Xenopus tropicalis: one gene and its partner. The protein of the gene in region 1 binds, or shares a complex with, the protein of each later gene. Links are inferred from orthologs where the notes say so. Each region holds a gene or a part of one and is shown on either strand. Other genes may lie near its edges.

What was found.
Region 2: smarca2 (region 1) and smarcb1 share a complex: the UniProt entries of both Homo sapiens proteins name them as parts of the BAF complex. The link is inferred for Xenopus tropicalis from reciprocal best matches to the Homo sapiens genes SMARCA2 and SMARCB1.

Annotation. Positions count from the first base shown.
Region 1 is NC_030677.2:128,239,709-128,245,307, forward strand, and holds part of smarca2 (probable global transcription activator SNF2L2), read right to left. Parts: intron 5,594-5,599; coding exon 5,430-5,593; intron 4,724-5,429; coding exon 4,657-4,723; intron 3,075-4,656; coding exon 2,964-3,074; intron 1,839-2,963; coding exon 1,596-1,838; intron 1-1,595. UniProt on the Homo sapiens protein: ATPase involved in transcriptional activation and repression of select genes by chromatin remodeling (alteration of DNA-nucleosome topology).
Region 2 is NC_030677.2:153,167,602-153,173,811, forward strand, and holds the start of smarcb1 (SWI/SNF-related matrix-associated actin-dependent regulator of chromatin subfamily B member 1), read right to left. Parts: upstream 3,477-6,210; 5' UTR 3,475-3,476; coding exon 3,385-3,474; intron 2,780-3,384; coding exon 2,659-2,779; intron 1,545-2,658; coding exon 1,415-1,544; intron 1-1,414.

The sequences.
Region 1 (5,599 bases):
AGTAAACAACTCAAATGCAATATCAATATTTTATGTCTATTATAACATTCATACATTCAAATAAGTTATCTACTTTATTTCTGAGCTCATTTCAAAGGAATAACTTAAAGACTTTATTTCGCAGATGTCTACAATATTAGCCAGAACACTACTTCCTCCTTTACAGCTCTATAACCTCAGTCAGTTAGTAATCAACTTTGGGGGGGGGACGACACATGGGACATAACTATTCAGTTAGTTTGTGAGCACGCAGGTCAGATTCAAAAGCAAACTAACTAAACAGTTATGTCCGATATGGCCCCCCTCAAGTCACCGATTGGTTACTGAATGCTAACAGCTTAGAGAGCTGTAAAGGAGGAAGTAAAGTCCTAGCTATTACATTAGACATATGTTCACTCCAGCCTTTATAGAGTACATTTTTGGCTAACTAAACTGTTCCAATAATACCGAAGGAAAAATCAAAGCAACTAAGTTAAGACTTTAGAAATAACTGTGGACATCGACAAGTCTGGTTCCTGTTTAAGAACAACTTCTAAAAAGATGAAGGTCCCACAAAAATCTATACAAAAAAATTATACTTTCATATAAAACCCTGGGACCACACAGACATGCATTGTTAAATTAACACCCTAAAATTGTCTTGGGTGCCTATATTGCAAATATTGTTCAATTCTATTCATATTCCATTCTGACTAAAATTCCAAGCCCAAGGGATGCATAATAAAAAAAAATGAAACAAAAATGAAGACATCGGGGCGTGTTTACTAAGACTGGAAATAAATATCATTGGTGATGTTGCCTGTAGCAACCAATTACCGTATATACTCGAGTATAAGCCGATCCGAATATAAGCCGAGGTACCTAATTTTACCTAAGAAAACTGGAAAAACTTATTGACTCAAGTATAAGCCTAGGGCGGGAAATGCAGCAGCTACTGCTAAGTTTTAATAATCAAAATAAATACCAATAAAATGACATTAATTGAGGCATCAGTTGGGTATATGTTCTTCAATATTTATTTCAAAGAAAAACAGTAAACTAGCTCTGTAAGCAGAGAAGAGGGTCAACAAAAACAATATGAGTACTACCCCATGCTCATTGCACATTGGCAAACTGGCAGCAGACCTGGTCCCGGAGGAGATGTAAGGGGAAATAAGTATTGCTAGTGGGAGCCTAGGCCAGGGCACTGGAGGGTCTGGTTGCAGGTGGCCTAATTTGCACACAAAGGACAGAGGGTGCTAGTCTAGAGGGACCCATGGCACCTGACTCGAGTATAAGCCGAGGGTGACTTTTTCAGCACATTTTGGGTGCTGAAAAACTAGGCTTATACTCGAGTATATACAGTAGGTCTTTGCTTTTGATTCTTAACTTGTAGGTGACTGTTTAAATGTTATTGCTGATTGGTTGCTATGGGCAACATCATCTTAGTAAACAAACTAATTGCCTTAAAGATTTGCTGTCTAACTTACAGATGATTTAATGCACTTTAACTGTAGTTGCATCCTATTGCTACAAGTGACACTAAAGCTTTCATTCACCAGACAGAGCATAATATTAACTGTAAAAGTTTTTTACTGATGGAAGTAAGACATTACCCTTTCTCCTGTCATTGCAAATGGAGCATTAAACCACTGCTCAAAGGTGCTGCAACTCTTAAAGATAGTAGGCAGTAGAAAGTTCAGAAGAGCCCAGAGCTCTGGCAGCTTGTTCTGCAGAGGAGTGCCAGTCAGTAGAATACGTCTTGGGGCAACATAGTGAGTGTTCAACACCTGTGTTAGTTTGCAGTGATGGTTCTTCATTCGATGCCCTTCATCAACAATCATATATTTCCATCGGATCTGTTGATGGGTAAATGAAAACAGTGTACACATAAGTGCAACAGACAAGAATCAGTGACTATTAGAAATATCACAGATATTGTATAATGATACATACACATACCGTACTACTCTATATTTCAACCTCCCACTTGCTGCTGTACTCATATGTTGTTAATTCTAAGCCAGTAACACAGCTTTTTTTGTATGTTCATAGCAGAATGCAAATTGAAGAGGATGGGTGTTTGTCTTTTTATACCAAGTTATATTTGTGTCTTATATGTTTTTTTAATATGCTGTAAGCATAACATTAATGCAAGCTAAATTAAGAGGAAAGGACATAAAGCAATAAGAATCATAGTTTGCAGGCTGTAAAAAGGCATTCATTCAAGAGACTAAAACACCAAACCCATCAGCTGGTTGCAGAACCATTCTATTGCATGGCGAACACAGACTACAATAAGGTGGCCATACATGGGCAGACAATCTATGTATGGGACCCTCAGAGGAGCCTATATTGAAGGACTGATATCTGACCAATTACTGTCGACTCACTAATGCGGTCCTCGTCCCAATGGCCTGTATCCTGTCAATGTGATACGATCATTTAGTCCTTGAGGTTGGCATATCAAGGTAAGAGCTGCTTATTTGCCAACCTTGCCAAACAAGCAGATCTATCAATGTATGGCCACACACAATGTATTACACAAGCAAAGCTCCATTCAACATTTTTGTAATTCACCTTATAATCCAGCTGTCCTCAAGTAGTTTATAAAACATGCTTTGGCTGAAAATCTTTGTTAGTTACTTGGAACTGACATTGATGTCAATCTTCTGTGGCAACCATGTATGTGATGTTTGCTAAATCAACTTAAAGTAATGTTTCAAAAGTCAATGGGACTTTAAAGGCAGACTAGAAGCCTTTATTGCAGCAATTTTAGGTTGCTGTCTGGCTCGCGCATAGTCTCTAATCACCTGATATGTACTCGAGCCAGGATTGTTTTTAAATACTGGCCTGTTAAAGGCACTGAAGTTTATGCTTGGGCACTTGTGTTTTTGGTGGAGTCTCTTTTAAATATCAGAATGAACAGCAAAAACTTGAGAAAATAAATGAGAAAAAAAGAATGCCACAAAAAGGCCACTTACCTTTGCCAGTATGTGCTTGTCTTTTATAATATATTCGTAAGTGGTTAGCAGAACATTAAACTTCCCAGTTCTTAGCTGAGGAACTAAAGAACGTCTCATTGCTGGTGTTCCCTGAAACAGAAGGAAATGTGCCAAGTTTAAAGACACTGAATGACTGTGATAAGAAATTATTCTTAAGAATACCAGTCCATTTTCATCTTACAAGGTATTTGCATGCTACTCGCTACAAGAGTAACTTTTCAATTTTCCATGTTAAATGAGAAAAGCGGACGTTTACAAAATGCAGGACAAGCTACAACACTAATTTAAACACCTAAAGATATGAGTGTACCTCGTGAATACAATGCATCCATGAAGGGTAAGAGGCACGTATGCCCCACTCCTGCCCCGACTCACTTATCAATCTGATGCTCAACTTAGGCAGTGCCACAACAGAGAACTATACCGTCTCCCCTATGGTAAGCAGTAAGGCCTATGCCGCATGAGGAATTTATCTGCTTGCTGAGAATCAGCAAGTGTGGCATAGGCCTAAGAACAGGGCTGTGCTCTGCACTAATTTCCAATCTGGTAGGTACAGGGCCAGTCAAGGCTGGATGCGCTAACACTTGAGTCAGGGATCAAGTTAAATGACCCCTAATATTTTCCTGGGTTTCCTACACTACATACACTTAGCATTCTACTTGAATCGTGTAATCCTCTGGTGCTCTGCTTTCAGAAAACGCAGAATTTAGATTAGGTTTGGTGTTTTTTAGGCTTATACAAATTGGGATTTGCAAGGTTGTCCTATGAATCAGCAGAGAGAGATAAATCAAGCCTGAAGTTTGTTAGAACTTAAATAGTTCCGTATAAAACACAACAGTCTTTTTTGTAATTAAAACTTGACCCATTTTTTTGGTGTTTTTTTGTGTTGAGTTTCACTTTAAAAAATATAATTTTCCAGTATAAATGACTTTATTATTTAAAAATGTCAATGGTCAGAGTTATTTGCAAATGTAGCTGTAGTTGAAAGCAACATTTTTCTATCCCTTTCTATTCTCTGCACTGTTGGTTGTGACTCATGAAACAAGATTCAATTATTCAAATTATTCGCTAACTGCTTTTTCTGTATTGTCAGAAGTAGTAGTGCATAAACGGACAAATACTATTTTCAATACAAAAAACACTGAAAATAATTCAGCAGAATGGGAAGTTCAGGAGTCAGGGATTTATGCCTCCAAAATGTAACTCATATTAAATTCAAGTTAAATTCAAGGTCAACTCCTTGATGCAAATAACTAGGCTAAGTGCTTCTTTACATTGCAAGACACTCATTTGAAAGATAAATAGCTCAATTAGAACAAGCAACTCTGTTATGTGTCTGGTTGTTAGAAACAGGTGCGCTCTTTCAATCAGTCAGCCATGCCCACAAAATCACATGCAGTAAGAACTATTATTGCTCTCGTTCTAGATATTGGATATGATAATTAACCATTTTGTGCAGCATTTTTCCATCTGAAAGTAATTATCCCATATTGCAGTGATGTCTTTAGGATGATTACCTTGCACTAGGACGCATGTGGCAATTTAAGCAGTTTAACATAATTCTATGCAAAGATGGGGTGAACATAATAAAATATACACACACACACACACACATATATCTTTAGTAAAGGAATAATTTCACGATCATTAATAATAGAGTGAAACTGCAAACCTTGTATGCGATTTTCACAACTGATGGGGCCCATTTATCAAATTCATATAGCCAGTTGGACAAAGTCCTAGAGGAAAGAATATTGATTTAAATAAATAAACAGTATATCAAGTCATTAAAATATAACATGGACATTTTTTAAAATAATTTTGTATATACTGTATTTTTGTTTTGTAGACAAGTGCCAGCTTGATCTGAAAACATCTTCTTGATATTTTCTAATCTTCTAGACATCTGCTAATTATTCAGCACTACACAGTTAACTGCTTATGGGATCAGGTATGGGATCTATTATCTAGAAACCCATTATCCTAAAAACTCAGAAATACAGAAATTGTGATTTCTATAGTGTCTCTCTTTTATCATTTCTTTATTCTATGTAGTAAGAAAACAGTAACTTGTACTAGCACATATGTGTACGGCACATGTAGGTGCAATAGTAGGTGAAAAGTTTATGTATCTGCGTGGGCCCTTCCGATTTTGCTTATTGACAGTTTGTAGAGGCCAAAAATCTTGCAACTGAACATTTCTGACATAATTGTTACTTCCTCTGCTTTTAAATTATTTGTATCTGATCAGACCCATTTTAATACTGATAAAAAAAAATGTTGGAAATGTAGTTGAAATACTCTCCCTGACAATCTCTACAGGGCCTCTGATATAATCAGAATGTTAAGCCAAAAAGATGACACCCAACATGTGTTTGTGTGCACATTATAACTTTATTCTATTTTTTCAGGTAAGGAACCAAAAGACAACATTTCTGTACTTACGAAAGAGGAACTATAATAAGGTATGGCCCATTAAGCCTTTTGTGCTCCATCAGATAGGTTATGAGTGCAATAGTTTGAATGGTCTTTCCGAGCCCCATTTCATCTGCCAGGATTCCATTTAAATTGTTGTTGAACAAGGAAACCATCCATTCCAAACCCTGAATCTGAAA
Region 2 (6,210 bases), about 25 Mb from region 1:
AAAGAAAAGGCTCAGGTTACATAAGAAGATACCAGATAAACTGTGTAGAATACAATGGGAATCTATGCTACTTATATGTTATCTGCTATGTAACCTGTGCCTTTTCTCCTTTTTTCAATTTAAATGGCTGCCCCCATAGCTACACAGCAGGGTATTTAAATAACTGCAGTAGTATTTATGAAGAAAATACACAACTTTTACCAGTGCAGAGCAATAGTATATAATATATGAATTATTTTTACACACTTTAATTTTTTTGTGTTACTGTTCCTTTAAATTTAATGGCTGCCGAGCATGGACAGCCTGCTTCAAATCATCCCATAGATTTTCAATGATATTCAAGTCGGGGGACTGTGACGGCCATTCCATAATATGGAATAAATGCCTTTGTAGATTTCCAACTGTGTTTAGGGTCATTGTCTTGTTGGAATATCAACTTTGTGAATGATGTTTGAACATTATCCTGAAGAATTTGTTGTTATTGGGATGAATTCATCTGACCCTTGACTGTAACAAGGGCCCCAGTCGCTGAACTAGCCACACAGCCCCACAGCATGATGGAACCTCCACCAAATTTGACAGTGTTCTTTTTGTTATGACCAAATAATTTTTGTCTCATCAGTCCAAAGCATTTTGTTCCAAAATGACTGTGACTTGTCTAAATGAGCTTTTGCATACAACAAGTGACTGTTTTTGGCATGAGTGCAGAAAGGGCTTCTTTCTCATCACCCTGCCATACAGATGTATGAATTGTATAACGATGTACAGATTCACCATCTACAGCAAGATGTTCTTGCAGGTCTTTGGAGGTGATCTTTGGGTTGTCTGTTACCATTCTCCCAAGCCTCTGCATATGCCACTCCTGTATTCTTCTTGGCCTGCCAGATCTGGGTTTTACAGCAACTGTGCCTGTGGCCTTCCATTTCCTGATTACATTCCTTTCAGTTGAAACTGACAGTTTAAACCTCTGAGATGGCTTTCTGTAGCCTTTCCCTAAACCACACTGTCACTCTTCAGAGGAGACTCTAACAGAAGCACAACTTGCAATTGGCCACCTTAAATACCTTTTCTCATGATTGGACACACCTGCCTATGAAGTTCAAGGCTTAACGAGCTAACCGATTTGGTGTTGCCAGTAATAAGTATTGAGCAGTTACATGCATTCAAATTAGCAAAATTACAAGGGTACCCAAATTTTTGCACAGCCAGTGCATGATTTAATTTCATACAACTAAATACTGCTTCACTAAAAATCTTTGTTCAGATTACACCCCAGTACTCAGATGTTCCTAGGAAATGAAAGACATACCACTGTTATCTTTTTTGTTAAAAGTGGAGTAAACTATTATGCAGGCTGAGAGGGGTTCCCAAATGTTTCATATGACTAAAAACCTCAAATGTGTGCCTCACTCACCTGAGGTAGGTTGGTGGTTCTGTGCTAATAGAGACTGCTTTATATTTCTCATCATTCCCATCAAGGATCTCTTCAACTTCTGAAGCTTTTAAGAGAGTAACACTGGTAGCTAAAGTGGTATATCCATGATCTAAGGAGGAAGAAAACAGCAATATGTAAAAGGTTTAAAAACTTTATACTTAAAGTAGTTCGGTTACATTAAAACAAGAAATTATGAATGTGGCAAACTAAGGGAGGTCATCTTAAAATTATAGTAGAAACAATGTTAATTGCCAAAAGCTGGTTGAAAATAGCTTAGATTAGGTATTCTTAGACAATCTGAAATGGTTTACATTTTTGTGAATTTTGAATTCTGTAAAGCTGTCCTAGCATGGCCAGCTTTGGTTGGCAGATCTGGACCCTTCAGCCCAACTGTCTGAGCATGCATGACAGGTTGGGGTGGGTTTCAACAGACCATTGTGCAACAGAACAGGATGTGTCCAGCTGGCACATCCCACCAGATGAAACCAGCCTGGACCTATCCGAGTTATGTTCTCAATACTAGATGTACAAGGTCTGAGGTATAGGTTAAAAGTTGTAAATTGAAAGCACGTCGCAACTAAAAGAATCTGTAGAAGGGCAAATGAGGTAGTTGATATTTTTGTTGTAAAATATATGTTGAATAGATGGTATTTATAATGTGGCCACCTAGGTATTTGAGCCTGTGATGATTCCAGGAAAAAATCCTGGAGATATCAAATATATGTTTCCCCACAATGGTAGCCGGGGAATAATAGTGGTGGGGGATGGCCCAGTAATTTAAGGTAGAGAGGGTATTTGCAGTTGCGGGGCATCCTTGGAGTCGGTAGTGAAAGCTATGCAGGTGCTTGTAGATTGTAAGCTCTTTTGGGCAGGGCCCTCTTCACCTCTTGTATCGGTTACTGATTGCTTTATATGTTACTCTTTATGTCCAATGTATGTAACCCACTTATTGTACAGCGCTGAGGAATATGTTGGCACTTTATAAATAAATGTTAATGTAATGTAATGTGTTCCACAGAGGCCAGAAATATCCCACGGAAGCAAGTATTTGGGTTATAAGGTTCTAGAACAAAGCACCATTGGAGATAGTAGACTTGCAAATCCAGATAGTACAGGTAAAAATTCGGAAATCCCAGGGCTGCCATAGACAACTGGTGCATTCAACTTAATCCAAGCTGTTCTTTCACCAGACAAACCAGGTAAAAAAAACTACTAATATTTACATTTCTTTCCATGAGAAGACGCTACTATTTTCTTCCTCTCTTCTACTGTTGCCAACCGTCTCCAAAGGGAAGGGTACCGTTTATATAATGATCCCCTGAACATGCGCAAGTAATTTCCCACCTGTAAATAAAAGACAAAGTATTTAAGAGTCAAAACAATAATACGTTTTCAGGCTGCAAAATTTGGTCACAGACCCAAATATAATGTGTACACCTTGAAGTGACAGCATACAATGAGGCGCTACACAACACAGCAGGCCTCCAGAAAGGAGGATTTAGGGGAAAGGTAGGAGTTGCAGCCTATTTCTATTACAGATGTTTTGTTTACCTCATGCTTTCTGTTGCTGCACTTCTAACCAGTCAGCTGCACTTTCAAATTCATCCCCCATTGGCCACCTCTCCCTTCACCAGTGCGTTCAACTTGTAGGTCTAGCTGCTTTAAAACTACTAGCACTTCCTTCATTCTGGGAGTGATGAGAGCTGTAGTGAAACAAGGGCCCGCCGGTTGGATATACCACTCTTTTTTATCTAACTAATAACCCGCCCCCCTTTTGTTATTGTTTTGGTTTTTTTCTTTTACACGCATGAAGATTTACAGAAACCTTGGTCTCGCCCACAACAGTGCCTGTAACAAAGAAGGAATCCTTTGTCCCAAACCCCTTTCTCCCCCACGTTTGTATTACGCAGCTTCAGCGGAGATGTTTAACGTTTGCCCTGGACTCGTACCTCGGATCCTATCATGTAGTATTCTCCATCCTCTTCCAATTGAAATTTCACTGGCTTTTGGCCAAACGTTTTACTTAACGCCATGATCATCCTGCCTCCGTTCCAACACCGGGCCCACCGAACAGCGCATGTGCCAACTACGTAGTACACGAAGCGCAGGCGTCAAGGGAACTGCATAAAGCGCATGCGCGGCGTTTCAGCGCACAACTTATAGCTGCCTGCGGGCGTAGTTTGGTTGTACGCTGACTAAAGTAGCGGCTTCGTAAAATAGTTTTACTTAGTATTTTTATTAGTGCGGAAATACTAAAGATCAGCCAAGGGTTGCCACTTTTTCTAGAAAAAAAAATACCGGCCTTTTAATATTTTGGAACCCGAAACCCACAGTGGACATTAACGTTTAAAGGAACAGTAACACCAAAATATGAAAGTGTTTTAAAGTAATTAAAATGTAATGTACTGTTGCCCTGCACTGGTAAAACTGGTGTATTTGCTACAGAACGCTCCTATAGTTTATATAAATAAGCTGCTGTGTAGCCCCGGGGGCAGCCATTCAAGCTGGAAAAAAGGAGAAAAGGCACAGGTTACATAGCAGATAACAAACTGTGTAGAATACAATGGCATTTGATCTGTTATCTGCTAAGTAACCTGTGCCTTTTTTCATTCGAATGGCTACACAGCAGCTTTGCTTATATAAACTATAATAGTCTTTCTGAGGCAAACACACCAGTTATACCAGTGCAGGGTAACAGTGCATTATATTGTAATTACTTTAATACACTTTCATATTTTGATGTTACTGTTCCTTTAATGATATGTTTAGTATGCACGGCAGCTCATGTCTTGAGAGGGACCTTGGTGCAAAGTTTGCAACCATGCCCATGGGGTAGTAGTTACACCACTCAACAATAGGCCATTGGCAGCCCTCAAACCGAGTATGGACTGGATCGGCAGGGCCCTGGCCCTTGTAGGCTGTCCTGACCCAGTTTTGCTCCCTCCTATAACTAGGTGCTGGCCCACAGTCCTTTTATCACAGTTGTAAGGAGAAAATGCAGTAGGGGGACGGGGTTTGATGTCGCAACTGGGATGGAGGGTCCCCAGGTGGCAGTCCCATTGGGCCCCCGGCCGCCCCAGTCCAACCCTGCCCTAACAAGCAATTAAGGGCTATGAAATAGACCTGCTGCAACGTTCCCTCATTACTTTTTGGCTTTGTGTGCAAAAAACTTGTGTGCATACATTTTAAACTTGTGTGCACGTTTTTAAAAACTGCTCAGGTAAAAATAAATACAAAATTGTTGTGTGTGAGCGCACTGCTTATAGGGAACATTGTTCTGCAGAGATGCCAACTGACCTCAGGTTATAAGATAAGATAATGATCCAATCCTGGATATTTCATTTTACATAGTATTTTCAGCTGGCTGTGAAACACCTAAACCAGATGAGAAGCATGTAATTAATATTAATGGAAACATTAATTTGGATGAAATAGCCCAGGATCCTTTCAAGGATTTTGGCACTTCTCTGCTGGCTGAGAAAAGGCCGGCCACTAGCACAGCAATAAGTGAATGCCATAATTTTTCATGCACACATGCACAAACTAATATAGGTTTTATTTCTCCTGACCCAAATTCCTTGGCTTTAAAACTCTTTGTTCTACTTGCAAATTGATTATACAGTCTTGAAAGTAGGATAGGACATTTGTGTTTTCTATTTGCAGGATTAATTCTTTACAGTATACAAAACCAAGGTCCTTTAGCCATTCCTCAGATTTTACTTGCCGGTGAGAGTGCTAAATATCATAGGAAATACAGAGAATGCCAATCTGCATTACAGTTTTTAAATGAACCATATCGCTAAAACTAAAGAGATAATACAACAAAAGCTGTGCACTTAGGTGGTCTGCTAATCATTCCACATTTTTGTCATCTCACTCATACTATTACCACCCAATGGTCATGACTTGGTGCTTGCCTAGGGTCCTTTAGGTCTGCTGTTTTCTGTAAATATAAGGCTAATGTTCTATGGAGTGATGTAGTCGCCCGGGATAAATCTCTGCTACCGGGGATGACTTAACTGCTCTGAAATGCCTTTCCACCGGCAACAATAGGAATGGCTTGTGGAAAGGCCAACATTCCTGCTGCATTTTAATAAACTATGAAACAGTGATTGATTTAAACATACAGGTATTACCGCAGATTCTTTAATTCAAGATAACACTGAAATATTATAAAGAAGGTGATACTTTTTATTGGCTAACCTGGGAATATTACCTTTGCTCTGCTCTTAGGTATTTCTTTTGCAGGCTTGGGCTAGGAAAAATATCCTTCTGCACCATTGCCATTAGCACTATGGCAGGAAGTATTCTCAGCCGGCATGTTTCAGCCAGGGTAAAATAACCCATGAAGCTTTTCCTTTACTTTTATCAAATCTGTCAAAAACCTTAATTATGAGTTCCTGAACTTGTGTAAAAGGATCTTTTATTTCCTAGCATGTGAAATATACCGACTGGTGACTGGTGAGTGAACAGCACAACAATAACAAAGTAGCAGGTGACCTGGAACTGATCAAATTCCTGAGCTTACAAGGTAAAGCAAACAAGCTGGCGGCGAGTATCTACACTATCTTATCAATTATTCAAGGTGTCTGTCTAGGCGTTGAAGACAATTAGGCCTATTTCAACCAACTGTCCTCAAGTCAGGTTCGGATTCAGTCTACAATGTTGGAAAATCGCAGCATTCTTTAAAAAAAATAATGGAATGATATAGAATAACATATAAATAAATGCATCCTATTTTATAGAATTGAGAGCACCGGTAAACATGATATTTT